Astyanax mexicanus: one gene and its partners. The protein of the gene in region 1 interacts with the protein of each later gene in a pairwise test. Links are inferred from orthologs where the notes say so. Each region holds a gene or a part of one and is shown in the gene's direction. Other genes may lie near its edges.

Evidence for each region.
Region 2: the proteins of txlna (region 1) and washc3 interact in binary tests that used the Homo sapiens proteins (3 or more experiments, as listed by UniProt). The two-hybrid records come from large-scale screens. The link is inferred for Astyanax mexicanus from reciprocal best matches to the Homo sapiens genes TXLNA and WASHC3.
Region 3: the proteins of txlna (region 1) and vacuolar protein sorting-associated protein 52 homolog interact in binary tests that used the Homo sapiens proteins (3 or more experiments, as listed by UniProt). The two-hybrid records come from large-scale screens. The link is inferred for Astyanax mexicanus from reciprocal best matches to the Homo sapiens genes TXLNA and VPS52.
Region 4: the proteins of txlna (region 1) and cdr2a interact in binary tests that used the Homo sapiens proteins (3 or more experiments, as listed by UniProt). The two-hybrid records come from large-scale screens. The link is inferred for Astyanax mexicanus from reciprocal best matches to the Homo sapiens genes TXLNA and CDR2.

The regions. Positions count from the first base shown.
Region 1 is NC_064410.1:39,643,913-39,651,568, reverse strand, and holds the start of txlna (alpha-taxilin), read left to right. Parts: upstream 1-4,645; 5' UTR 4,646-4,804; intron 4,805-5,686; 5' UTR 5,687-5,694; coding exon 5,695-5,866; intron 5,867-7,656. UniProt on the Homo sapiens protein: May be involved in intracellular vesicle traffic and potentially in calcium-dependent exocytosis in neuroendocrine cells.
Region 2 is NC_064409.1:37,361,041-37,368,422, reverse strand, and holds the start of washc3 (WASH complex subunit 3), read left to right. Parts: upstream 1-4,374; 5' UTR 4,375-4,512; coding exon 4,513-4,563; intron 4,564-4,702; coding exon 4,703-4,801; intron 4,802-6,349; coding exon 6,350-6,415; intron 6,416-7,382. Other genes in the region: cwf19l1 (CWF19-like protein 1), read left to right, coding at 519-638, 1,674-1,771, 1,872-2,016. UniProt on the Homo sapiens protein: Acts as a component of the WASH core complex that functions as a nucleation-promoting factor (NPF) at the surface of endosomes, where it recruits and activates the Arp2/3 complex to induce actin polymerization, playing a key role in the fission of tubules that serve as transport intermediates during endosome sorting.
Region 3 is NW_026040044.1:1,819,075-1,826,075, reverse strand, and holds the start of vacuolar protein sorting-associated protein 52 homolog, read left to right. Parts: upstream 1-3,992; 5' UTR 3,993-4,016; coding exon 4,017-4,109; intron 4,110-5,121; coding exon 5,122-5,206; intron 5,207-6,802; coding exon 6,803-6,855; intron 6,856-6,958; coding exon 6,959-7,001. UniProt on the Homo sapiens protein: Acts as a component of the GARP complex that is involved in retrograde transport from early and late endosomes to the trans-Golgi network (TGN).
Region 4 is NC_064410.1:7,014,928-7,022,870, forward strand, and holds the start of cdr2a (cerebellar degeneration-related protein 2), read left to right. Parts: upstream 1-4,927; 5' UTR 4,928-5,141; coding exon 5,142-5,223; intron 5,224-6,944; coding exon 6,945-7,057; intron 7,058-7,943. Other genes in the region: mfsd13al (transmembrane protein 180-like), read right to left, coding at 1-600, 1,896-2,051.

The DNA.
Region 1 (7,656 bases):
ATTTAATACTGTGTTGTGTTTTTTTTCCCCCAAATCTAAAAAAAAATGTGGTCATGGACCAGAGTGGATTATTACAAAAGCAAAAATTGATTGATTTATTATTTTCGTCAGACATTAGATTCCTTTCCATTTTCTCTGGTAAAGGATATAATTCTATAGATGAGAAACTATGGTTCTCTTAAGCAGAATTGTGGATGTAGACACTTTTTATCAGTTCAGTGCAAGTGTACTGCATTTGATATAGTTACAGTATTTTATATGTATAAAACCTGTTGCGATTCAGCTCTGCTGTTGCAGTCTATGATGTTTTCTGCTATTTGGTGCATGACAATGTCCTCTGTTTACTGTAGCATTGGGTTTCTCAGTGTTTATAGAAGTTGCTCTTTTGTACACTATATAGAGAATGATTTGCAGTTTTATTGCAGTTAAGATTATAGCATTTAAGTATTGGAGTAAGAGGAGCGATGCTCAATCTGCCGAGTCCTGTACAGAAACATTTAGTTGGCATGAATTACCTGATCAGCTAAAGCAGCCAGAAACCATTGTTTTAGATCACAACAGGAGATGCTAGGCTAATTCATGACCAAAAACTTTGCTGTCATGGTTTAAGAACAAAGTTGTGTGGCTCTATCCTCAGAGCTTAAATGTTAATATAATTAACATGTTAAATGTTAATATGTTAACATAATGTCTAATCATGCAGTTTTGCACAACAAGTAAAGAAGAAAAAGTTTGCCAAAATATTTGATTTTTTTTAAAGCATGCCATCTGGCATGTTTTTACAGAGATTAGATGGACCTGGTGAAATTTTAGGTTCACTTTTTGTTACCAACTTTAGCTTAGCACCTCCTGCTCTAAACTAAGGAATCGAAAGGCTGTCAACAAACAGGACTTAGTTTCCCAAAAGCATCTTAGCATTAAAAACATCTTAACATGGACACAGAGAGAGAGACAGAGAGAGAGAGAGAGCTCGGGGTAAAGCTTGCTCGGCCAATTAAGAATAAACTTTGTGCTATGAACCTTTTGGGAAACCCTGGATCTTTACTGATCTGCATATTCTGTTTGTGATGAATCATATATATTTGATAATTTGCCAAATTATCCATTTAATGTTGGAGGTGTTTACCTTTTCTAAAGTTGTTAGGAATACCTTTTTAAAAAAGCCTTGGTGTAGAACAGTAGCAATGCCTGGCTTCTATATTATTAGCTAAATTGTGGCAGTCCTATAAGAATGAGGTGGTAGGATATTTTAGTGTTTTGAGTTCCTTGTCACTTTAACCAAGATAGCAATCTATTTAAAACATCAGCTGCCCTTTTAAATAGTTTGATTGTGTAAAGAATAGCCAAAGTGAAAACATTTATTTGGAATCAAATCTTGCTCGATTTAGCATTTTACAGGCCAAAATTAAGGCTGTTTTTCTAATAGAAAGTGATCATTTGAAATATGCATGGCTTTGTTAGAATCGAAAAAAATATATAGAAGTTAATGTGATTTAATGATTGAAAAATCATTCAATTTAGAGGAATTGCTGACTGGAAAAATGTTGCTGGATATTACACCCTCAGCCCAAACAGCATGCTCAAAATCTAGATGTCCATCCAACATACTAGTATTCTCCTCATAATAAATAAATAAATTAAAAATATATCAGTTTTTGACCATTTTATTTAAAAATACAGTGGCTAACTAGACTTTAGAGACTTTAAGGTGCCCTTAAAGGGAATAGTCAGAGATCAGAGCAATCAGCAATGCTGCAGCTACCTGTACCTGCTTATCCGTGCACATCAAAGAGGAATAAATAGGATTATAATTAACAGGGAGGAATGGGGGAGGCAGTGTATACACTATTTCTCATGTTTCTCATGGGGAAATATCAGGTGCAGTAATAATAAAAAAAAAAAAAAAGAATTAACTAATTTAAAATGAAAATGCACTCCTTTTCACAAAAGTGCCAATCAGACCAACAAAGACTGGAGGTTGATGCATATCAACATGTCTAATTTTGTATTTGTTATTTTTTCCTTCCTTTTTTTTCTTTTTTTTCCCAGACTTTGTTTATTTACTTGAATGTGCACGCGTTTGTGCAAATGTTGCTGCTCTATTTTCATATCTTATATTAATCAGAGGTTACATTATCTGCACAGTTTCTGTAGACATGTGGCAGTCTGCTATTTGTACACCAAATTGGTAAACTGAATCAAAAATAGAAATTGAAATGTAAAGCTAATTTATTATGCTGGACTAATTTACATTGGTTTGTTTGCTTGGATTGATTGTGTCTCCTTTTGGAAAATGTACCTTTCTTTCACAGTGGCACAGAAGAGCCAAGAAAGATACCAGCTGTCATCGATATTGTACACGTTCTTTTCTGTTCGTTCAAGGACTTTCAGTGTTTTTGATGTTGCTTGTATTTATACAATCTCAGTTAGAAGTTTCACTGAGTGTGGAGACCCAATTGACTGTCCCAAATCTGACTTCCTCTTGGCTTTACTTGCAGCAAAACTGGTTGCAGCTCTATGAGAGTCTTTTACCATTGCAAATGAAGAAAATGTGCAGTAAAGCTTCAGAGAAGAAGGCCAGGAACCACAGTCACCTGCGCCACTTTAAATCTGCCATATCCAGGGATGTATAACGCTTTACTTCAGGTTGTGCTCACTGAAGGACATCCTTTAGAGAGATTAACAAATCAGGGCTTCATGAATCTGAAATTAACAGACCTATTCTTATTGTTGTTATTATTGGCAGAATTTACTAAAGGAATAGTTCACACACTGTCCCTGATTAACAATGACTTCCAAGAAGTGCAAAAAAAAAAAAAGATAAAAGGCCACACATGTACAGTTAAATTGAGTCTTTCTGGTCTTCCGTCCTAGATCTTGTAGATGTTTATACCTTGAGACTTTTTGTCTCCTCCAAATCCAAAGCCAGTGCGTAATGCTTGGCTGTGTGTCGTTAAAAAAAATAGAAAAAGAAAAGAAAAAAGCTAACTTGTTTACAATATGTTTATTTCAGTTATTTTTTTTTTATTTCCTACTTTCTGTTTAGTCTCACCCTGGTTGGTTATTGTGTCCTGGTCCTGTGATTTTGTTTCTTTTTAATTGTATTTCTCTCCTTCTTTTGCCAACAATTAACCATCGTATACTGTGACTGACTTGACTTTACCGACGGTATGAATGAGTGACTAGAAACAGATACACAAACTGAACATGTCACACGAAAACATAAACATGTACATTAACATTACTGAACAAATGTTTTAAAGAGGTATAAAAGGTTTGTCCAGAATGCAAATAACATGCAAAAAATAAAAACGGCGATTATAAAGAAAACGTCTTTGAATGTCTTTTATTTATATATAAAGCCGTTTGACACACACATGCACACACTTTATTTCAAATAAAAACTTGTGCTTAAATATACAGTTGTGGTCAAGCATATCCATGTAATCATTATGGACATAAATTACTTGTAAGAACTTGTAAACACCATTCACATGTTTAAGGGTAGCAGTGAAGGTTAAAACTAGACCAGTGTTTTTTAACTTATGGCACACAGCAGTGAATCTTCTACAGAGATAATATGGTTATAGGGTATTATAGAGAGAGTGAAAGTCTTCAATAATTAAGGTGTCTTAAAGGCATCAATTTAACAATATAACTAATTTCTATGTCCCTTTCCTCACAACATATAAGCATGGAGGGAAGGAAAGGAGCATTTTTCCACTCATGATCTGTTACAGGGCTGCTGGGATTATCATCAGTTATGTATATTTCTAACCTGCTGCTTATTTATGCTCTGTTGCTACAGTTAGATAATACAGTGTCCAGATGTTCCCATGGTGGCGTCCCGGTAGCCAAGCCTTCAGCTCCCTCGCCGCGAGAAACCTCCAGTGTGGTGAGTGCTCGCACTGCTTAGCAAAGATTTACCGCTGCCTTTTAGATCATTTTTTGCAAGCAAAGGAACATAAATACAGTAAATTCCTGTGAAGTATACATGATATGTGCATTATCAATGTGGAATTGTGTTTACTGAGTTCTTATATTCAAGTATAATTTCATAAATATGCCATTATAAGACTTAGGTTTTTATATTATATGGTAATATTGCGACTTTAATCTCGTAATATTGCGACTTTAATCTTGTAATATTGCGACTTTAATCTTGTGATATTTTGTCTTTAATCTCATAATATTGTCTTTAATTTCGTAATATTGCAATTTTATTTTCTTGTGATATTTTGTCTTTAAACTCGTAATATTGCGACTTTAATCTTGTAATATTGCGACTTTAATCTTGTGATATTTTGTCTTTAATCTCATAATATTGTCTTTAATTTCGTAATATTGCAATTTTATTTTCTTGTGATATTTTGTCTTTAAACTCGTAATATTGCGACTTTATTCTTGTAATATTGCGACTTTATTCTCGAAGTGATTTTTTTTAAGAGTGGCCCTAAAACGCCGTCGTAGATAATGTTAAATAAAGGTTGCTTAAAGTTTTTTTTTTTTCCTAAAAAAGATATGTAATGCAACAAATAATGACGTTTATACGATTTGCTATCAGGGAATGGAACAAATGACGGTTTTAATGGAGGGGGTCTCCGCGTTTAGTTCTGAGGTATTTGGGGGCTTTTGTGGGCTGTGTGTACTCGCGCTGTGCCGGTGTCTGTGTCGGAAGCGGTGTTTCTACCTCGCCAATCCGCTTTCACTCTTTCTCTCTGTTTCCTGTGTCCGCTGGCAGAGCAAACACACTTTCTTTTTCTGCGGAGAGAAGAGGATTTTACCCGAGCTGTTCGAGACCCAGGTGGTTAACTAGCTTTATATCACTACAGCCTATTGAAACAGCGGGGTTGTTGTTGTGGGACTGTGTAATATAATGGTTTTAATCGCGGTGTTTGGCGTTGATCTTGTGTTTTATCGCGGCGCTAACTAGCTTTAGCTCTCTGCTTAACTTAACGATAGTTTAAACTTGTCAGAAAGCCAGAAAACGCTTCAACAGAAAGTCCGGGAGGTTTAGCTAGCTGGATGGATACCTAACCCAACTCTAGCGAGGCTATAACCCAGGCAGTTTGTCAACAGAGGTGCACTTATGGGTGTTACTGTTTATGTGGGGATTAATGGTCATGATTTAACTCCGATATTAGCTAAGTTAGCGTTAGCGAGCTATCTAAGATAGCTGTGTTAGTGGTGTGCCGCTGTACCTTACCTTAGCTTTAAGTTAGCTGTCCTTGTTTTTCAGCCCTTTGCAGTTTATTTCGGTTAGCTGACTTGTTTATAAAAGCTCGAAACGATTTAACACAAGCTACAGAAGCTCGCAAAAGGCTAGCTATGGTTGCTAAGCTAGGTTAGCTAGCCTAGCCTGTTAAGCAAGTTGCGTGACGCTGGCTAACGACGTCGCTCAGTGTCGTTAGTCAGTGTTGTGACCGTTGAAAGATGTTGCTAGCCAAGCAGATAGTTAAGTTAGTTAGCTTTAGCTGTTGAAGTAAAACATAACTAAAATATATCATATATTACTACGTTTTGAGTTAAAAGTATATTAATTTATGATATGTGACATTAACGTTAATAAAGCAGGCCTGATGCCTGTTTTTCACCCTAAGTAACATTTATAAAGGATTCTTTATGTCCTCTTTTGTGATTGTGAATGAATGAGAGACTTTTACTTACTTTAACATTTTGTCCGCAGATTGAAAAATGAAGAGACAAGACACAGAGGATCAAGTTGTGGAAAGCAGTGGAGGGTCTCCTGGCAGCGCTGATGGCACAGGAGAGAGTACAGTTAGTCCTGAAGGAACCGACAGTCCAAAAGAGCCCAGCACTCAGACTGACAGCTCTCCAACTATTAGCTCCAGAACTGATGAAGGCCGTAAGTGAGGAACAAATGCATATGTTCATCAATTTTAATTTAATCATAATTTCACCTGGATTGCCATTATGGGCTACATTCTGTAATGGTAATCCATCTGGATTTGGTCAAAGTTTGTATTTCTGTGGCTGAACAATATACAGGTACGCTACATTTACATTTACGTTATTTATTATCCAGAGCGACTTCTGCTTTGTTAAGATTAGTTTAAGAACTGAAAAATGAGTCATCAATCAGGGTTTGAAGTAACTGCTGTTCTGACGCCCAGTGGAAGTTTGTTCCACCACCTTGGTTGCAGGACAGAGAAGAGTCAGGATGTTTGTTTCCAGACATCTAGACTCTTCTCTGTGCTGGCACCAAGGTGGTGGAATGAACTTCTACTGGTTGACAGAACAGCAGAGTCACTCGCGGTCTTCAAACGTCGACTAAAGACACTAAAGACACATCTTTTCAAAGAGTTTCTAAACTAAAAAAAAAGGTTCCTAGGGTTCTAAACATGATCAAGCTCTGTGTATCTCTTGATCCTAGTCTACAAACTAGCTTTGGATATTGTAAGTAACATCGAAGCACTGTTGTAAGTCGCTCTGGATAAGGAGGTCTGCTAAATACCTTAAATGTAAATGTTTTCTGTTGGTTTTGAGGGATGGTGGTTCAAGCTGAGCGGTACTGAACGCTCTTCGAGCTCTTGATACAGATCTGGCTTCGACCATGGCTGTCAAGTAGGAAGGAGCTGGTCCGTTTTTGGCTTTGTAGGCCAGCGTCAGGGTTTTAAATCTGACGTGAGCAGCAACAGGAAGCCAGTGGAGGGAACGCAGCACAGGAGTCACATGACTGAACTTCGGAAGATTAAAGATGAGTCGAACTGCTGCATTCTGAATTAGTTGCAGAGACCTGATGCCTTGCAATAGAAGACCAGCCAGTAGATATTTGCAGTAGTCAAGTATTGAGATGATAAAAGACTGCACCAGCACCTGAGTGGCTTCCTTAGACAGAAATGGTTGAATTGTTCGGATGTTATACAGAAGAAATCTGCATGACTGAGTGACCAGTAAATTCTTGAAAGAGATGGAGAGATTGTGGTGAAGACCTGTAGTTCCTGGGATGAACAGGAGGTCAGTCTTGCTGGGGTTAAATTTCAGGTGATAAGAACTCATTCATGATGAGACTTTGGGGAGACAGTGTTTTTTTTTTTTTTTTTTTTTTTTGCTTCTTCATATAAAAGGAATGTTTTGAAATCCCTGTTTATGTGAACTCCCCCATCACTATTAATGCTCCCAACACTAGTAGGGTGAAGGTCAGCACATACCATCTACCAACTCCTAAGAGAGCAAGGCCAATTGTGCTCTCTCTGGCTGCTGATGGCGAAGCATTATGATTTGCGATTCACACCTTGGTTTATCCCTGGTTAAAATTAATATAATTTTGGGTTCCCTGAATATTTTATTAATATCGGGATTACTGAAAGATCAGGGACTTCTAGGAAAATTCCTGTGTTTTTTTATATTGCAACATGTGTTACAAAAATAAACTATGTTGCATTGTCAGCTTTTTCCTCTATATTGCTGTTTTATTTACTGAAGTAGGAAAATTAATAATTTACTGGATACTAAAATGTTATGCTTTTCCAAATGACAGTTACATCTAATTTATTGATTTAGAGAGGCGTGAGTATGTCAGAAGATCAGCATCAGTATATAAAGTTACACCATGCTGGTATTAACTAAATGTGTTTTTAAAAGTGTAGCAAACTTAGTACAATATATATATTTTTAATTATATTCAAAACAGTA
Region 2 (7,382 bases), on another chromosome or scaffold:
TGAAAATCACATCTCATACCGTTGCAACCCTAGGAGTAGCCTGCATTTGTGGTTGCTGCCCAAACGGGCGGCCTCTTGAGACCCAGGGTCAGTCCAGCAGCACCACATAAATTATGATTTTGGGCCTGGCAGAACTTATCTGCAGTATGAGGGAGATTTTAAAAGGCTCTATTCTTCCCCATGTGAAGGCTCACATACATTCAATCATCAGTTTAAGTCTGAGCAGACAAGCAGTCTGTCCTGATGAGCAATCCAGTCTGAGGGACTCCAAGCTCCCAATGATGACCATCATCATCATCATCATCAGATTTAACATAGTATTATGAGTAGAAATAATGATTAGCCTGAACAGGATTTACAAAGCCTATTATTCTGTAGCTAAGCCCCATGTTTTCCAAAGTGCCTGTCTTTTAATCTTAGCATGTGTTTACTTTAGAAACACAATAGTCGACTATAGTCTGAAAGTTTACCAAGTGTACCAACTGTAATTCCCACCCATGTCACCCTCTGGATGGTAGGTGGTGCCTGTGCCGATGGAGAAGTGCAGTACGGAGGACATTAAGGAAGCCTTCGTGGTGCAGGCTCAGGAGCAGCAGATGGAACTGATGGAAATTCCAGAGCACACAGACCTCAAACAGGTACATTTAGCCACTTACTTACAGAAAAGTGAGGAGTAAAGGTCATTTAAGAATAATTTTATTGCCTTTTCCATAATTTCCTAACATGTATTCCAAGGTTTTCTGAAACTTAAGTTGAATCAGGGTTCACACTAGTGCTGGGTGGTATACTGGTTCATCTGTTATACCAGAGGGGAAATTAAAACCGGTATGCATTTTTAATATACCGCCATACCACAAGAGGCGCTGTGGAGTGCTGTGTAAAACAGTACAGCCAAAAAAGCACACTGGCACAGCTCGCTAACTAACGTTAGCCAGTTAGCATAACAAGCTTATACACTGGAGTAATGTGGAGCCAAACGCTACGTCCTGCCTGGAGAAAAATGCAAACAGCACTTTATCAGAGGAGTTACTGATGCTGTTTCGTAATGTATGAGTGTTTTTATTTGAGTAAAATACAAAACCAATAGCAATTATTAATTCAGAAAAAAGACAATTGGAATAACTCAATCGATCCACAGCTTGGCGAAAAGTTCCTCTTGTCCCCCAGATGAGCCCAGAATCGGTCCTGGGTACAGAGTCATTCGTTTAGTACAAGTGACAAAACTCTCTAAAACCCTGGATACGAGGTGTAAAAAAAACTCAAGAGCAGTAACTATAGCCCTTTAAATGTATACATACTGTAGCTTGAATGATAGTTTTAATGCTTTTTTATGTATAGGGCAAAGCATTTGTGAAACCCAAACCCTTCCAGTCCTCTCACTTTAATTAAAACATTCTCTGCTCATTAGCTCTTGGAAAAGTAATAAAAAAAGAAATTTATTAACAAACAAGCCACATTTCATTAGTATCAATGCAGAATTTCAGCATTTGAGAAGGGCAAGTATAAACATGCTGTATCCTGTTTTGTATTGGTCTTGGTTGTTAGTATTAAGTCAGGCTAAAATAATGATCAAAAGAAATTTTGAATAATGAGTAAAAGTGTTACATTTGTTTTTATTAATTTTTGGAAGTAAAAAGTTTAAATCTGGCTTTTTTCCTTGCTCTGTTTTAAAGATTGCTCCACCAGGAACTCCTTACTTCTATGTGGAACTGGACACAGGAGAGAAACTGTTTTACCGAATCAAGAAGAACTTTCCATTGCAGTTTGGCAGGTAAACAATCCAATTTGAAAGAGTCTTTGTACACAAATAAACCTCGCACATTAATTTTTGAGCAAAGCGAGTTTATGAATATGTGCTATATTTACACCAGGGAAGTGTTGGCAAGCGAGGCAGTGATGAACATTCCGACGCGGTCAGACTGGAGAGATTGTAAAAGCAGCAAGGAAGAGGAAGAGGCTCTGGCAAAAAAGGTCCGCTCTGGTTTTGAGGCTTTTGACTTCACCATGGATGACTGAGAATCTTGCCAGTAACCAACACATTTCTCAATGCACACAAACACACTTGAAAATGACCCATTTGGTCTGATTTTTTTTTCCAAACACAGATGCAGAATTTCAGTACATATTTTCATTTTTTTATGTTTTTAAACTGATGTCATCCCAGCATTTTGCTCTTAATATTTGAACTGACCAGAGATGGATTCTGTTGAAAATATTACAGAAAGAAGTTTTTCTTGACTATTGTTTTTAAAGGAATTTGTGGAAGAACCTGTTCATAGTCATTGTATAGTCAAGAATATCCTCTTTTTACCAAGTGTTTGTTTATTAAAATACTTTTTGAACAGTGGACACTGAGTTTGATGTTTGCTTGGAATCTGTGTTTTTAGAAATACTTCTTAAAGAATTGAGTCATCAGGATGTTGTGAATGTTTTGTACAACACGCTCAACATCAGCAAATGACATTTAGAACAAAACAAATATAAAAAGGCAAGATGTCCCAGGTGATCATAGTATTCTGTCTCAGGCACACCTTAGACATGCTAAAGAGCATCGCATGATTAAAGGTGAAACACAATCTGGAAAAAATTGCCATTCTATAGTCATCAGTAAACACTAGTCTAGACAACCACTAGATTTGTGACTTTTATGGCTAGCAAATGCGACTTAAACCGGTTTCTGATTTATGCATCTCATTGTAAAACATAATTCAAACCAAATCTGTGCCAAATAACGGACTGTTTATTAAAGTACATACACATACCTGGAATGAACTTCACTTATGAAGCAACTTATAGCCAAATATTAAGCGATGGAAAGATAGAAAGAGAGAAACAGAGGGAAATCCTCCCAATGTTACTTACAATCAGCCATTTAGCTTTCGCAGTTTTAAAAAGGCTTGGCCGAGACTCACCTATGTGCAATATCTCTCTCTTTACCTGTTCCTTGCTGCTCCAACATGAGCTTTCGCTGTTTACTCACTGGCTCCATCATGATAAACCTACATGTCTACAGCTATCGGCATTAGAAGTGCCAAGTAATGAAATACAAATACTTTGTTACCTTACTTAAGTAGAAATATTGGTTATCTATACTTTACTGGAGTAATTTGTTTTTTTTTTTTCAGACAACTATTTACTTCTACTCCTTATATTTAAAAAAAGCCTCATTACTCCTATTTTCTTTTAGCTTGTTTTCATTCTGGCTTCTCCTTGTTTAAAAAAAACTCTGTCCAGATAAATCTCTCCATCCATACAGAGTGAATTTGATTATGGTTGGATGAGAAGTATAAACATATAACCTTCCGACACCCTATCGGATTATATGTGATCCATCACCACTGCACACGTCACACTCCAGCAAGAACATAACAGACGTATGTAGCCTAATATGAAGAGGATCTCTGGCAGCGGCTCAAGAGAACTTGAGCGAAATGTTTGTGACACTGTCGGTTCTAGGGGCATTGGCCCCAGGTAAAAAAAAAACTGATTGGCCCCCAGAAGGGCCCCTGTCCTGTCACTCATCTGTCCATTGATCAAGAGGGCCAATCAAATATTAGTGGATGCATTTCAATGTCCAAACACTAGAGGCGCCAATTAGTCTAATAAGAATGTCCAGTGTAATACAAGCTTATATAGAAGAGACGTTTTAATGTTTGGACCTGACAGTATTTGTTCAAAAGTAAAAAGAATTAAAAAAAGAATAAAATGGGTTTGATCATATGCTTTGTGTATGAGAATATTTTCTCTATATACAAAAAAATGCATGTAAAATATTAAAAAATGCAGCTCATTTTGTGCCAGAAGTTTCACCCAAAAATATAAAATTTGCGATCAAATTTGCAAAATATATGCATTTAGAAGCAAGAAACAATAACTGCAAAGAAGATAAAGCAACCACGTATATATAAAAATATATATTTGGTATATATTTTTCTGTTTTGAATGAGCAACATAAACATTTTCCTGTTAATTCTTAAATTCCTTTTGATGATGAAAATCCGTCTCAAAAGCAGCTGGCTATCCAGAAAAAAACATACCTTATGCTGGTTAATAGAATAACAAGCTAACTTCCCATCTTAGAATATTTTATCACTGGATGGTTAGTATTTTTAGAAGGCATTTTGATGGCAGATTTTGATATTTATTTTATCTTATTTTATTGCGCAAAATGAACACTGAACATTTTACTGTTTAAACTTACATAAAGTGCGTTCAAGTGTTTGAACATGGCGTGACTGGTGAAATAGTACTTGTCCCCTCCGTGAATATTGTGACCCCCTTGCTCAGGAAAATCCTAGATTTGGTTTGAGAAAACGCTTCCAACAGGCCTGTAAACCAGGACTCTTAATTTGGAGTGGAGCTCTCTGCAGGCGGAAGTGTCGCGGGTCATACTAAAGTCACATGAGAGACTTGAGGAACGATGGTTTCAGAATACTGAACTGCAGAGCGGAATTTATACCGGCTTAAGATCATTTATATTAGCTTTATAAAACAGTACAAGATCAGATTAATATGGACGAGGACGGGTTACCTATAGTGGGCTCGGGAGTGGATCTGACCAAGGTGAGGAGGGTCTGTGTGTCTGCGCTGTTACAGCTGGAGCTGCGGGCTTGTTTACTCTCTGAGTAGCAGATCAGAGAGCTGTCATTTCAGTCTCTCTGCTGAAACCTGTGTGTGTCTATGTGTTTGTGTGTGTGTTCAGGTTCCTGCAATTCAGCAAAGAAGAATCGTCGCTTTCCTCAATCAGTTTATTGTTCACACGGTTCGGTTCCTCAACCGGTTCTCATCTGTCTGTGAAGAGGTGGGTTAACATTCTGAAATAGCTGGTTACGTTACCCTATTTCCATATTTTGCATTTACTTTTTTTTTATTCAATTGCTTTACGATGTGTTGATAATTTAGCAAAATCCCCCAAAAGAAAAGGACCCAGACCCAGACCGTTTACAGTAATGATCTCCTAAAAACGTTAATCTAGACCTGTCTCTCTCAGTGCCCTGGTCTTGGAGGCTCCCTGCCCTGCACATTTTAGTGTGTTTACTTCTTTAATTCACCCCTACAATGCTGAAAGGGCGGTAAATAAGCTTAGCTAAATCAGGTATGTTAAGAAAAAGGTGCAGGGTAGAGGTTTGTGGAACACTCCCACATAAGTATAACATTTTCTTGATAATTTTGGGAAGATATAGGCTGTTCATGTCTTGGTAAGAGGTGTTGTAGAAAAGAAAATGAAAGGTGGGCTACTCCCACCTCTCGTCCGGGGTACAACTCCCCTGCGTGTTCGTTTGATAGAGAGAGTCAGACAGATGGAGTGAAGTTGAAAGCAAACCAGGTATTTATTACAAAGTACTGAATATCCAGGAGAACCCACACATGAAAGACCGTCTAACAGCCGTCCCAGCATAAGTTCTGACCCCCCTTCTGATCTGACTCCACGTTTATACCCCAAAATGACGTAAAGCCTGTTGATGAGGCGTTGTTAAAATCATCTCATGTTAGCATGCACGTGTTAGCACTGAAGTTTCCCAGGTTTGATCACACCACCAGTGTTTGACCTTGACTGTCTCCAATCGGACAGTGTGGCATTGTCTTCATGACTGGACCGAGTCCGGTAAAAACAGTGTGGTATTGTTTTAATAATTACAAAGTGTCGTCCTCCCCATGTGCGTGCTCCCATCCCGCTTTGGGAGATGAAAAACAACGCACACACAGAGTGTAAGGCTGCACTGTTCGTACCCGAGTCTCTTTTGTATCAATTCAGTTCGTACAAAGTGCACTTGGCTGATGATTGATTGTCAGTCAGAAACATGCAGTAAACTAAATGCTTCAGGCATAAGCTGTATGTGCCCAACAATTGGTTCTATATGTTATTTGTTACTGTGTTAGCAGCGTGTGGTTAGTCCGCCATATAATAGATCCTATGTGTTAATATACGCCTTATATATCATGTTGGTTAATTTGTCATAATAAGGTCTGTGTTAGTCACATGCCTGATCAAACAATGTTTTACTATATGTGTAAAGGATATATTGTGATTATTGATTAATCTTTTATATAAATGCGTGTAAAATATACTGTGAGTGATAAAATGATCAAATATGGTGTAAGTATTGGTTAATGCATATAAAATACAAGGTTTCACACGATGATTATGTAATTTTAGATACCAAGATAAGTAATCATGATTGTGAGATGTTTGTCAATACATTCAAGGTAAAACAGGGTTTCTTCGTAAGATTTCCCACAGAGGTAAACTTCCAAAATAAGCTTCTAATTTGTCTAATATTGTGGCAAATGAGATGAGAAGTGAATTTGTCAGATCATCTTACTAACTAGTGTGTATTTTTTATTGTAGAAACTCTCAACAATATCATTACGGATTCAGCAGATTGAAACAACACTCAGCATTTTGGAAGCAAAGGTAAAACATTTCTAAAATATTTTGTAACTCAGACAATTGCATACAGATTCTGCAGGCGATTATATGTGACATTTCGCACTTTTTTACAAGTTAACTCAGTTCTCTTAGCACTAACATCACTCTTCTCATTATGTCTAAACAGTCTGTTGAGAAAGTTTAAGTGCTTGTTCCTTTTAATGTAAATGAAAAACTGTTGATGCCTTTTCATTACTCTTGTCTACAACATCTACACATTTTTAGAATTTTAAACTTCACCTTGTTCACCTTGAGCTAGAGATAGACTTGCTGTTAACTACGCATTTGTGTGTGAACTGCATGTAGGGGATACAGATATAATACAGATATTATAATACAGTGTCTGCAATAACTTATATCTGTATTAGAGGTGGTAACCACAGGGCATCTCACAATATTAGCACGATACCTTTAATGATAATATGATGATAATATTATGATACTGTGATTCTGAGATACTCAATATATACCAAGACAAATCTCTACGATACTTCTCAGCACCTGTGCTACTGTAGACGATAAGCAATAGCAGAAATAAATTATATATAGATGTCAGTTTCACAGACTTTAACAACCAGTATTCATCATTGCAAGTTTACCTTATTTATTTTATTAGAACCATCATGTGGATTAATGAAGCAGTAAATTTAATAAGTAAGTCAAATTGGGGGCTGAGTCCAGGGAGTTCAGAGTGCCTATGTTTTAGTAAATATATTGATATTTGATCCCAAATACAGATACTGTCTCACAAACGAAAACAATACAGTATATTGCTATATTGATATTTTGTCTGACTCCTAATCTATTTGTTGTTTTGCGACTGCACAAAGGAAAAATAATACTCATCTAAACAGGTGCTGAGAGATCAGGATTATTTAAAAAAAAAAAAACTGCAACAGACTGTTATGTCTCTGCCTTTTTAGGCTTTGTTCTCTGGTCTGCCCTCTAGTGG
Region 3 (7,001 bases), on another chromosome or scaffold:
ATACACACACACACTATACACACACACACACACACACTATACACACACATACTATACACACACACACTATACACACACACACTATACACACACATACTATACACACACACACTATACACACACACACACACACACTATACACACACACACACTATACACACACACACACACACACACACACACTATACACACACACACTATACACACACATACTATACACACACACACTATACACACACACACACACACACTATACACACACACACACTATACACACACACACACACACACACACACACTATACACACACACACTATACACACACATACTATACACACACACACTATACACACACACACACACACACTATACACACACACACACACTATACACACACACACACACACTATACACACACACACACTATACACACACACACACACACACACACACACACACACACTATACACACACACACTATACACACACATACTATACACACACACACTATACACACACACACACACACTTTACACACACACACACACTATACACACACTATACACACACACACACACATACTATACACACACATACTATACACACACACACTATACACACACACACACTATACACACACACTTTACACACACACACACACACTATACACACACTATACACACACACACACACATACTATACACACACATACTATACACACACACACACTATACACACACACACACACACACACTATACACACACACACTTTACACACACACACACACACACACACTATATACACACATACTATACACACACACACACACTATACACACACACACACACTATACACACACATACTATACACACACATACTATACACACACACACACACTATACACACACACACACACACTTTACACACACACACACTATACACACACACACACTATACACACACATACTATACACACACACACTATACACACACACACACTATACACACACACACACTTTACACACACACACACTATACACACACACACACTATACACACACATACTATACACACACATACTATACACACACATACTATACACACACATACTATACACACACACACACTATACACACACACACTATACACACAAACACACACACACACTATACACACACATACTATACACACACATACTATACACACACACACACTATACACACACACACACTATACACACACACACACACTATACACACACACACACACACTTTACACACACACACACTATACACACACACACACTATACACACACACACACTATACACACACATACTATACACACACATACTATACACACACATACTATACACACACACACACTATACACACACACACTATACACACAAACACACACACACACTATACACACACATACTATACACACACATACTATACACACACACACACTATACACACACACACACTATACACACACACACACTATACACACACACACACACATACCTTCCTACAATTGCGTATATGTGGGGACCGGGTAAAAGCCCCGGTGAACTGAGGACCATAGTTTCTGCAGTAGTTAGAGAGCAGCAGTTCGAGTGTTTAGCCTCTAGATGTCGTCCAGATGCGGGTCATCACTTCAAACTGAGACTTAACCAATCAGCTGCAGAGTTAGCAAAAAAGTTTTTCACCACAGGAGTGAGGACATGAGCGGTTACTAGGCAGAATATGCAAATACCTTATTATGAATCTGCGCATAAACCTCAGCACCGCCCTCAGCGGTGCAAATATTTTTACAATAGAAATACACTCTGAAAATATCCTAACCACCGAATACCTTTAGAGTTCTGGTTTAGAGTGATTATTAAATACTGGACTTTATCTGCACTTTATTTGCGCGGGTCAGCGGTTAGCATAGCCGCTAGCGCTTCACTAGGCCATTACGCCGAGAAGAAGAAGCCCGCCTACAAGTCTGTCTGACGAATAGCGACCGAATATCTACAGGTTCCATCCAATCCGGTTCTAGAAATGGTCTCAGTGAACGTCTGATCTGCAGAAACAGCGTTTATGATAGGCTAAATCCTCCGTCCGTTAAAGCACGGCGCTTTACCCGCGTTGGACCGGAGCGCGTTCAAAATTCCCCCGCGAGCCCGCGGCGGGATAATAATAATACACATTAACACTGACCCCAGTTAAACCAGTTCACCAACACCACCGTGGCCAGGTATTAGACCAATCAAACACGTGGCCTGCACTGCTTTTGGGAAACGTACCCCAGGATGGTTAGACTTTTGTGTTGTTCAGAATGTATATTATTTGTTTAATGCCCAAGCTAAACTTACTTAATCTGTGTGTGTTTCAGATTCAACTATCCTGCCAGTAGAGAGAGGATGAAGATGAAGAACCACTTAAAAGACTTTTCATTCTTGTATTTTGTGGGGAATTTATTTTATTTATTTATTTGGTAGCATATTTTATTTACATCAGTAATGTATATATGTTGCCCTTCATGTTTAATGCTGTCAGTAAAAGATAATGTATAATAATAAGGATCACGTGTTTAAATATTTATGCTAGAAAAGGGAATTTTGAGGTGAAATGGTAAGGAAGGAATTCATTAACATTTTGGTATTTATCTTTGAAACTTTATGATATTTGTTTTGTTGCATACGCAAATGTTATTAATATACTTCATGAATATTAAACAAGCTGTTTATATTTATTATTAAATATTTCATATTTGAGGAAATATTAATTTTAAGTTTTATTTACAGTCAGTGCTTATTAAATAGGACAGTTTGGGGGTTTATTTATTAATAAGAGTGAGGGGATTTTAATGAGGGGATTTTAATGAAATTAATTAGGGTAAAGCTCTGTAAAGTGTGCCGCTGGTAGAGAGGGGTGAGAGGTGAAAGGGCGTCAGAGGTAAGATGGTGGATGTAGTGCGTGTCACTCCCCGATCTGTACCCCCTGCCTGCGCACTGCAAACTGAGTGAGATGAGCAGGGGCACAGATCGGGTAGGTAATGCCAAGGTGTACTTCCGCCCACACTGTCGCAAACAGCTCGTACACTGTGGTGTCAAAATTAAGGATTTTAAGTTTTACAGAGCTGTGCAGAGTACATTTTCGTTAAATTCAGCATTCACGCCATCCTCCAAGTAAGTAAGTAAGTAAGTAAGTAAGCTTTATTTATAAAGCACTCTTTACACAGCTTCCACTGCCCAAAGTGCTGTACACAAAATGTCTAATAACTACACATACATACAACCACAACGAAGGAATGGGCAAGGAAAGTGTGTGTGTGTGTGTGTGTGTGTGTGTGTGTGTGTGTGTGTGTGTGTGTGTGTGTGTGTGTGTTGAGAGAGATATGGGTTCGCTCTCATGCTTTTTCTGAGAGTAAAATAAACTGATATTTTGATGAATGTGTTGTACCTGTTATTTATAATAATTTGCTGTGTATTTTAAGAATAAAAAGAATTTTTAAATGTGAAGTAATTTACAGACTTGGTATATGTAACAAAAAATAAATAAAAACACAGCAGGCTCACACATTTTAACAGATTATTTTCGATTTTTAATTATTTTAAACACCTATCTGTCTATCTAGAATTCAGAAAACGGAAGTTAAGCTTGATCAGCGATCTCACAGCGCCGACAACTGTTGACAGCCGTGGCTGCCCGATCTGCGCCCCCTGCTCAGTGTGCAGTGCGCATGCGCGGCACAAATCGGGCAGGGGGTACAGATCGGGGAGTGACACGGGGTGGTAAGTTGTAGGTTTTTTATGTGAGTTGTAGTTTTTAATGTGGGATTTGTAGTTTTTTATACGTTGAGTTGTAGATTTTTTCATTGTGAAATGTAGTTTTTTTATAACTGTTGAAGTTATAGTTGTAGTTGTTTTTAACGGGAGTTGTAGTTTTTTTATAGAAGTTGCAGGTTTTTTACGGTGAGTTGTAGTGTTTCTGGGAGTTGTAGTTTTCAGTGTGTCAGTAGTAATGGCGGAGGTGTTGGTCTCCGGCGGGGCTGCGGCTGATTTAACCCCGGCGGGCGGAACCGGGAGCGCCGCTATGGCTTATCTGCAGGAGGAGGTACCGGCTGGTTAATGTTAGCGGGGGGTTTCGGGTCGGTACCGCGCTGTGGGCGGGTGTTCGGGGGTTCGTGGGATCGGTACCGGAGTGCTGACGGGGTTCTGGCGGCGGTTTGGTCTGAGCTGGGCTTCAGTACAGCGGGTTTATAACTGATACTGATCTGTATTACTGTTATAAACTCAGTTAATAACCCTACTTATTATTGATTATTGATTTATAGCGTTTATTCCGCTGTAACAGAGCTGTTATAGCGAATCAATCTATTACACTGCATCATTAGCCTAGCTGTGTTTTGGCCTACAGACGCCCTTCATAATAAAAGCCCTCATAATATAAGGCATCATAATTTCTCTGTATCCCATTTATGTTATTAGATTAACCATGGAGACAATAGATTCATATTTATTTGTCTGCTCCAGACAGTCCTAATCTATTGGCAAAACTGAAAAATACAGAAATAAACAAGCTGTGTGTGTATTTGCACATCTATGTCAGCAATGGGCGCAACCAAATAAACTGAATAATGATTTCCACTAGTGGTGGGCGATATGGCCCTAAAATAATATCATGATATTTCAACAATACACTACTGCCAAAAAATGAAAATTAAATGTTATTATTGCATGTAATATGATATGTGATTATATAACTGAGATATTAAAAAATACAATAAATTTTCATTAGATTTGTAACAGAAGTCAGTGATCATGATACTAATAATATTAATGCACTCCAAATATCTTCATATATCCAGGATTAAAGTAAAAGAAATCTCTAGTCTCTAGTAGATATATAGTGGGAAATAAGAACAGTGTTATTTTTTCTTTTGATAAAGACAGTATAAAAGTAGAACCCTGGTGTGATAATTAGGGGTGGGTGATATGGCGCCATATTTCAGGATATAATATCATAGTTCACAATGGTGGCGATATTATTGGGTACGATACGATGCAGTATCTGGTTTAATGAGCTGATGTACTGAGTTTTGTTGTTTTTATTCTGACTGTATCAGAAGCCGGACTCTGATCTGGTTCCAGCTCTGAATCTGGGGGATCTGGATATAACCACTGATGAGTTCATCCTGGATGAGGTGGACAGTAAGTAGCTGCTTATCCAGCTGTTTTACAGTAAAACTACTTTTAAATCCCAGATCAAGGGTGTTGTGCTGAAATTCGACTCCCCTTGGTGATGTGCAGAAACGTGAGTCTGTATCTACTGTAACTGTAGCTTATTTATCATAATAATAATAAAATTATAAACTTTATTCATAAAGCACCTTTCATACATTAAGGAACATAAGGATATGGGGTGGTGATCACCCTGACCTATAGATAGATAGATAGAGAGATAGAGAGATAGATAGATAGATACTTACTTTATTTATCCTGAAGGAAATTTAGGCATCCAGCAGCAACAACACAATACAATAAGAAACATACTCAGACAAATCAAATCAAAACACAAGAATAGAAAATATATAAGACTATAAAAAACCTAACTATGCAAGGTAAGGATCTATCTGTAAACGGAGCAGTGCAGTAGATGTTGCTAATGGTCATTGTTAATTAAATAATTAACAGAGTAAAGTGCAATGTGCAATGACATCGATTACGAAAGTGACTGTTGTGACATAGAAATATAATATAATAAATTTGCATACGTTAGAAGACAGTTCTAAAAAGAGAATGTGAAAATGTGAATACCCAATCATGAGTAAGGTATACTTTAATGTAAGCAAGGTTGGGGAAGTGTTAGTGTAAATAATTAAGTGGTTGAGTAATAATGTTCATGTGGTGTGACTGGGTTAAACTCAGTCGGCAGCAGCATCCCGTCCCCGATGGGAGGAGTTAAAGAGTCTGATGGCTCTGGGAATGAAGGATTTTCTGAGTCTGTCTGTTGTGCAGCTCTGTGACAGCAGTCTGCCACTGAACACACTCCTCTGCTTCATGATGGTGGTGTGAAGTGGGTGACTATCATTGTTCATGATAGAAAGCAGTTCATCCAAAGTCCTTCTCTCAGCTATTGTAACCAGAGAGTCCAGCTCCATTCCAACCACTGCCCCGCCCCTCCTGACCAGCTCGTTCAACCGCAATGCATCTCTCCTCTTCATGTTGCCTCCATAACTATAAATATATAACATAACTATATAACTGAAACTCTTGTGGCTGAATGCAGTTAAATCCTCACAGCAGTGTTTCACCTCCAGAATCAAGTAGACATTCTTCTCTGGACAGTAGAAACAGGATAAACTCGTTTTTAGTATGCATGATTTCAGATAGATAAATGGATGATGGATGGATGGATGGATGGATGGATGGGTGGGTAGATGTTTAAATAAATGGATACACGGATGGATGGATAGACTGATGGATGGATTGATGGAAGGATAAATTGGTGGATACATTTATGGATCCATAGAGGCATAGATGGGTGGATGGATTTATGGATGAATGGGTGGGTGGATGGATAAACGGATGGATACATAGATGGATGGATAAATTAATCGATGGGTGGATGGATCAATTGGTGGATGAATTTATGGATCCATAGAGGGATGGATACACGGATGGATTTATGGATAGACAGACAGACAGATATATAGATAGACAGTCAGACAGACAGACAGTGTGTGATGTTGAGTCTCTGGTGTTAATGTTGGTGTAATAAACCTGTATGTGTTTATTTGTGATCAGTTCATATTCAGGCTAATCTGGAGGATGAACTGGTGCAGGAGGCTCTGAAAACGGTGAGATTATTTATTATGTATTGATTATGTTTGATGATGTATTATTGTGATTATTGATCTATTGGTAAATGTGTTGTATTGATTGTGGGCGGGATCTGTGCAGGGGGTGGATCTGAGACAGTACTCTAAACAGGTGGAGGCGGAGC
Region 4 (7,943 bases), about 33 Mb from region 1:
GACCTGGAAGAAGTTCATCACCACAAACAGCTGGAAGTCTCTGTTGGTGACAATCTGCCACGTCATGGTGGTCACCGCGGACAGGGAGAGGGTAGGCTGCTGAAGGTTCGGGTCCGAGCCTTTTTTATCAAAGCGGCCCTCGCTGTAGAAGCCGGTGTAGACCATGCAGGCGCAGCCCAGCAGGGCCACCAAAAAGCAGAAGCCCTGAAAGGCGGCAAAGTTGTCCATGTTGTTGGAGATAAGGCCGCAGAAGAGCACGCTGGAGGAGCCCAGCAGAGACGCTACCTGGTTGTATTTAATCAGCCTCAGTCTGTTCTGGTGATGCTCCGAGATCTCTGCAAACAGGGCACACTGAGCCAGCAGCACGAAGGTCAGCATGCCATCAAAGGCGCATAGTGTGACTACCAGGTGTGCTCCACTCATCCAGTCCCCGGATTCATAGGTCCTCCAAGGGAACCAGGCCAGCAGGAAGGCCAAGCTGTAAAATGGAGCACCATACAGGATGGACAGTCTTCGTAAAGAACAGCAGGACATGCTTGAGTTGTCCTGAAGGTATCCAAACAGTGGGTCATTCAATGCGTTCCAAATCATGTAGACCACCTGTAGACCACAACAGATGTTATATAACAATTCATTTTTGCCAGATAATCTAAATAACTTTAATTAAGAACTCTTTGACCAACCAATTTGACCATTTCAGAGTTCTTCCTGGAACATTTCCGATGAGCCTACCAAACTAATCTTGTGTTCCAACAATTAGTGCCAAAGGTATTCAAATCAATACAATGACAAGAGCGCCCAAATTTATGCACCTGCCTAAGAGTGTTTTAATAATTATTGCACACCTTCTGTAAATCCTATAAACTTAATTTCATGTTCATCTGCTTTATGATACATTTAACTAAAATTGCTGATCCAAACAATCAATGATTTATAAAGAAAAATCATGATAATGATCAGGGGTGGTCAAACTTTCATACTACTGTAATTTGGATGGGCTTCATTCCATTCATCAGCATGTCATATTTTGCTGATTAACCTGGTTAGGCTGATCAACCAGTTTAACCAGCTTCATCAGTTTAAGACTGCCTTTTTTAGGAGGGGCATTGCTGTTGTGATGCATGCTACGTGAGAACACAGATAAGTAATAATACAACAAGTATGCCAATTCTGTGAAACAAGTGAGGCTAAAAGATGCAAAGGAGCTTCTGTATGGGACGTAGTTGTTTATATACAGCTTTGGAAAAAAAATAAGAAACCACTTCTGAATCAATGTCTCTGATTTTGCTATTTATAGGTATATGTTTGAGTAAAACGAACATTGGTGTTTTATTCTATAAACTTCGGACAACATTTCTCCTAAATTCCAAATAAAAAATATTGTCATTTACAGCATTTGTTTGAAGAAAATTAGAAATGGCTTAAGTAACAAAAAAGATGCAGAGCTTTCAGACCTCAAATAATGCAAGAAAACAAGTTCATATTCATAAAGTTTTAAGCTTTCAGAAATCAATATTTGGTGGACATAATAACTCTGTTTTCATGCATCTTGGCATGTTCTCCTCCACCAGTCTTACACATTTCTTTTGCTTTTGGATAACTTTATGCGAGAAAAAAAAAATTAAGCAGTTCAGTTTGGTTTGATGGCTTGTGATCATTCATCTTCCTCTTGATTATATTCCAGAGGTTTTCAATTTGAAAAATTAAAGAAACTCATAACTTTTAAGTGGTCTCTTATTTTTTTCCAGAGATGTATATGCATACATGTGGCTTGCAAAACCCCCCTTTAGGGGTACGTACAGAGCTCATACAGTAACGTTACAGCTCTATAGATACACTGGTATTGAGGATATCTCATTATTTGTTTAGGGTCCACAGTGTGCAGGAGCCCTCACCTGAGACTGGTGGAAGGCTGATTCAGATATCCTGTATTTGTTTAGGAAGAGTTTCACGTAGTAGAAGCTGAAGATGCTGTTCATCATGCTGGACCCGAGAGTGGTCATTGAATAGGCCACCGCAGCTGGATGCGCAGAGAGCCTGAAGAGCTTCATGATGTGAATTTGTCTATGATCATCTACAGATTAAAACATTCATAACACACACAATTCACTGTCTGACAGCGAGCTCGGCTAAACTGCTGCCTGGACCTGGATAAACCTTTTTCCGTGTGTACGGAAGAGGCGGATTCCATGTGTACTGGGCGTGTGTCAATCGGAAACAGGCTGAAGGCAGCCTAACGAGTGTGCATACTTGTGCCCTAATAAGCAGTGAATGCTAGTCGAAGCTAATTAACAAACTGCATATTGTATTCTTGCACACTGAGCTAAATCAATTAACTTAACTATAATAAACCTGTCTAGTTACATCTGTTACTAGAGATATTTTTTCCGAACCTTAAAGCCTGATTTAAACATTTAGCCAGTTAGCCTATGTTAAACTTAATAGCTTACTAGCTAGTATCTAGTATTTAGCATTAGCCTGTTTAGCCTGAGTTATCCCTATAAGCTTACCAGCAATAGTTAGTCTTTCTTTGCCTGAATTATACATTTTAATTAGAATTTGGGGGATAATCATTATCTGGGATAATGATTTTAGCCAGTTAACCTGTCACAGCCTTTTAGCCAGAGTTGGTCCGTTTTAGTGTGCATTAAACCTGTTAACCTAGGTTAGCCAGGGTAATCTTTTCCACAACTGAGTTTCAACTTTCAACAGCATGTTTTAACTAAAATGAACTAGATAATCTTTAGAGCAAGAATTGGTTTGTTATATTTATTTTACATTTAGGTCAGTGTTTGTCTGTTTTAGCTAAACCTTTTTAGAGTTAGAGTTAAATCTGGTAACTCAGTTAGTATTAGTCTGTTTAGCCTGGGTTAACCCTATTAGCTAGCTATCTAGGTTATAGTTAGCCTGCCTATGCCTGAGTTAAACATGTTAATCTGTTTTAGGTTTATCAAACACTTTATCCAGTAAGTCAGATTGAATAATTTGGGTGTTTGTTCGTTGATCTGAAATTATTAAGTGGAGTAGAGAGTGGACAGGCAACTGAAAGTTTTTCAGTATGGAAACAGGATTTTAAATAACTTATTAAACTGCAGAAAAATGGGGTTTTGTGTCACCTACCTACCTGTGGCCCATATATGCCAAACGCCTACCTTTCTGAGCCCTATTTGCTAGATTGAACCTGTTTCAGCCTTACATCTGTATATAAACCAACCAAAAAGCAAAATATGGGCCTAGTTTAAACATGATAACATGGTCACAGTGCCATCATCAGATGTTTGACAAAGTCTTTGTAGAGCTTTTAGATGAGACTCGTGTGACTCACAGGTTTACATTGTCAGGCATGTGACCATTAGTTTATACTGTGATTAATGTTTATTTTAGTGTGTGTGTGTGTGTGTGTGTGTGTGTGTGTGTGTGTGTGTGTGTGTGTGTGTGCGCACTGATGTTTGTACACTTTGTACACAGATATTGTACGAAAAATGTTTGACACATACGACACACTTTGCATGTTTTTGTATTGCCTTCTTTTAGGGCTATTTTCCATCTGCTACAACTGTGTGATGGGAGTGATAAGAAACACCTTGCTTTTTATATTGCCATCAGTGTTAATCATCTAGAGGAGGTGTGTTTTCTCTCCCCGAGATAGTCCAACATAGTTTGGTGATTTGTCTGCTCAAACACAGCTGGTTCCACCTAACCGTTAGCTGCCAGGTTCAGTAGTTGGTGTGTTTGAGCAGGAAAGTCACTAAACTTTGCTGGACAGCAGTCCTCCAGGATGGGGATCAAATAGGTTACAGTGTTTACACAGCTTGTGTGAGATGCGACACAGAAGTGTCAGTGTATCAAGAGAGATGAAAAAAGGAAAACAATTATTTTATATTGTATGCTTATAGTTTTATATTGTTGTAAACAAACATTCTCAAGCAAACCTGATACATTTGGCTTCGAATACAATAATTAATCATAATTATTTATGAAAAAAATCTCAGTAAGAATGTAGTTGCAGTCTTGTAAATAGTGACCCTGCAAAATCTCCAGACTTTGCAATATCTTAGCCTGTGACTAGTCTATGACTAAAAAGTCTGTGACTTGTCTTTAGACGTGAGAGGGTGTCTACGAAGCCCCTAAGGTGACATCATGTTGAAAGAACTTATTAGAGCATGGGAATGAGATCCTAATACGTGGTCACATCTTATTCAGGGGTGGGAACAAGATCCTAATGTGTGGGAATAAGATAATTAAGGCATGTGAATTAGATTAATAAGTCGTGGCCATGACTTATTAAGCTGTGGGAACAAAATAATTAGGTCATAGCCAGAAAATAATGAAGCTTGCTTTTCTAGAATTTAGCTTTTGTTTTAGAAGCTTGCTTTTTAATCTAGAATCATGCCATGTCTCAGTGCAAGAGACTCCAAAATATCGCCAAAATTCATTTCAAGAGGAAAATAAAAAGAAACCAATTCACTCTCCATCTTCTTACAAATGATGATCCTTGAATTAGAGATTTGATGTAACATTCAGTCGTCTTCATTAGCATTAATTTAGGGAAAAGCAAACTTTATTATTCTCTGGCTCCAACTTAATCTTATTCCCACACCTTAATTATCTTGTTCCCACGTATTAGGTTCTCATGATGTTAGTCTTTTTAAAGTCGTCTAGTGTATAGTTAGCTTAACCCTCCAGCCTAACAAGAATCAGGACACCATACCCCTAGACGTGCACGCGTAAAAAAACAGAGGGGTAGGGCAAAGAGGAAGGGCCGATGAGTGAAATGGGATTGGGCCTTTGTGTGTAGGCAGCATTGTTGATCTGTTTAGGACATACCCATTTCCTTCCGCCCCGCCCTCTTTCTCCTGATTGGTCAGTGACGGTGTCAATCAAGCGGCCGGGCTCGGTGTTATGGTGCGGATTGTCCCGCCCCCTGTTGCTGCCGCCGCTGCTTCAGTAGTGAGGGCTGTGAATTTGCCACGTTGCTGTTGATGCGGAGAAGCGAGTAGCGGAGCGGCAGCCGGTGGAGGAGGAGGTGGAAGAAGAGGGAAATGTAGCGTCCAGACAAAGAGAGCAGCTGTATGAAGACTTCCAGAACTTGAAACTAATACTCGGTGTGTCGGAGAGAGACCCCCTAAAACCCAGCCAGCATGCTGACCGATATGATAGTGGAGGAGGGATTTGAACACAATGAAGAGGAGCTGTGGTACAGCAGGAAGGACCTGGAGCAGGGTGAGGCTGGGAATGCCAGTGTTTTAGCTAATGTTTATATCTGTTTTATTAACTAAATTAGTTTATTTCTGTTCTGAAACGGAAGTTGGTATTGTTGGAATTGACCGTTCCACCTTAAAAGTAACATGACGAGACGTGTGAGCTTCTGTAACTGCTGCACTATTTAAGGTGGAAAGGTGGAAATATTGTTGGTTTATTGAGATGTTAATGTTAATTTCATGTCTCTATCCAATATCCAAAGACTCTCTCACTGTGTTCTACATCACAGTAACGGTGCTTTGCTGTTGGCTTCCCCCTAAAGCTACGGCATAGTTGTGTCAGCTGAAGGTCACGCCCATAGAGGCCCTTTTAAAGCTTCATTGACTTCACTGCTGCAGTGACTGCTGATGCAAGTGGACCAGCATTGTTGGCCCCTCACTCTTTTAAATAAAGGAGAACCACTTTTGTTTCCAAAAGGCTCAATTTTGTAAAAGAGGTTTGTGTGAATGACATTTTACAGACTTAAAAAATAGTCAATTTATGTGTTCCCCACCAATTCACACTGACGGATCCTATACAAAAATGGTTCTTCTATGGCGTTGCAAAAAAAAATATATATATATACTAAATTTCCTTAGAAAATAATTCAGTTAACCAATCACTGGTTCAAAGTACCTTTCTTTCTATCTAGGCAAATATATATATCAAGTAGCCACAGATTCATCTAAACAATGCACAAAAACTAAGGCAATTTGTATTTGGTTGATTCTTTTTTGTTGGACCAATGCTTCTTGGCTATACATCTTGTACAGTTAAAAAGCCTGTAATTTTATCTTTTTAAATGTTGTCACATTGGTAAGAAACATGCATTTGTTGGATAAGCACTAGAGCACAGTATCTTCTCTGCCATTGCCAAACTTATTCTGCTCATTCTGCTGTTGTTATTGCCACTTGTTTTGTGCTTCTGCTATTCCCAGATTAGCATTGGCCCTGCTAAAGTGGCCAATGGATGACTGCTTCATCGATTGGCATGCAACTTCAAGCTGTTGTGCCACAAAACAAGTTCCATATAATGGAGCGATGTCTGAGACGTGCCACAAAGACGACATCCCAAAAAGATCATCAAGCACAGAACAAGTCAATGGCAGAATGAGCTGTTTGTCATTGTCGGAGGGTAGCTGGTGATTTTTCATGGGAATGACTCACTTACTCAGCTCTGCTGCACATCTCACAAATGCATGTTTCTTACAAATAAAGGAGAAGGGGAAAATAAAGTTTTCGCTACATACACTATATTGCCAAGTTTATTTGTTCACCTGCCTTGCATTTTATGCACTCTTTACTGAAATGTTCAGTTTGTCAGTGTTATTTAAGCACTGACAATATTCACAAAATGTTACACAGTATTTTGTATATCACAATACAGTAAAATATCACATTACCCTCCCCTGGCCTAATGATATTGATGTTTTCTTTTGGAACAAATAGCATGGGTTATTCAATTTGATATGTTTTTTGACAGCCATTTGTATGTTAACGGGTTGCCTTCAAGCGTCCTTCACCAAGACCATATGAAGCAGGCTACTTACGTCTAAAGCAGTCCTTGTAACTAGCTCTTGGATAGATAAGTCTCTTATGACTCATACCTCGAGACTGTCCGGCCTCTGGCTGACAGGATATTCTGTCGTGCTGTGCTTAATGTTTACTGTTCGTGTGTGTGTGTGTGTGTTTCTCTGAGGCAGATTTACATTTGGCCGCACAGCTGGGCAAGACACTCCTGGACCGGAACCATGAGCTTGAACAGGGCCTTCAGCAGATGTACTCCACCAACCAGGAGCAGCTGCAGGAGATCGAGGTTACATTTCCCCTCCAGCTATGTTCTGAAGTTTTTACACTGTTTCTTGGCAGGGATAAGGGGCCCATGTACCTCCACAAGATATGAGCTGAGAATTAAGCTTTTTTAAAAAAAAAATAAATAAATAAAAAGAGGATTAGGATAAAAACTATTTGCTGTTTTGAAGCACTTAGTAATTATACCAATCGGTTTCTGCAGCACAGCACTTTTCTTAAGCCCAAAGACGTTCTGCATCAACAAAAGCATATATAGTTCTGCAGCAGGCAGCGAGAGGACTGAAATGTGTACCAGTAAAGTTGGCACAAGAAAATCTAAGTAATAAGTAGTGGAAAAGTCATTGGACAATAGCTGTAATAGCTGAGAAGCATCCCAGCCAATTTACTCTAGTGGTGGGCTTTGGAAACAATATAGAGTCCTAAATTTAGAGTCACTTTGCTCTGTGATGTAGAGTAATTGACTCTCATGTGTAAACAAAAAAAGCTGTGGTGAATACTGACTGTATACTGGTTGTGAGCAGAGGAACCATCCAAGTCATGGATTACAGCATCTTCATTGGCTAGACAAGAAAACTGACCTGATATGTGCTTTAGAGTCACTCTGGTGGCGTGTTAAAAAAACTTCCAAGCTATGAAATAGAATTGCTTCAGCAGTGGGTCGAGGACAACCTACATGCCACAGGGTAGAGTAACACTGCTGGTGAAGCAAGGAACCTTCCATGTTGTAAAGTAGTGTTAACACTCTACCATCTATTCTAGTGGTGTTATCATACCATATTTTTCGCACTATAAGGTGCACAGTATTATAAGGTGTACTATCAATGAACATCTATTTTCATACATGAGTGCATCGGGTTATAAGGTGCATTTTGCTTAGTAAACACACCTGT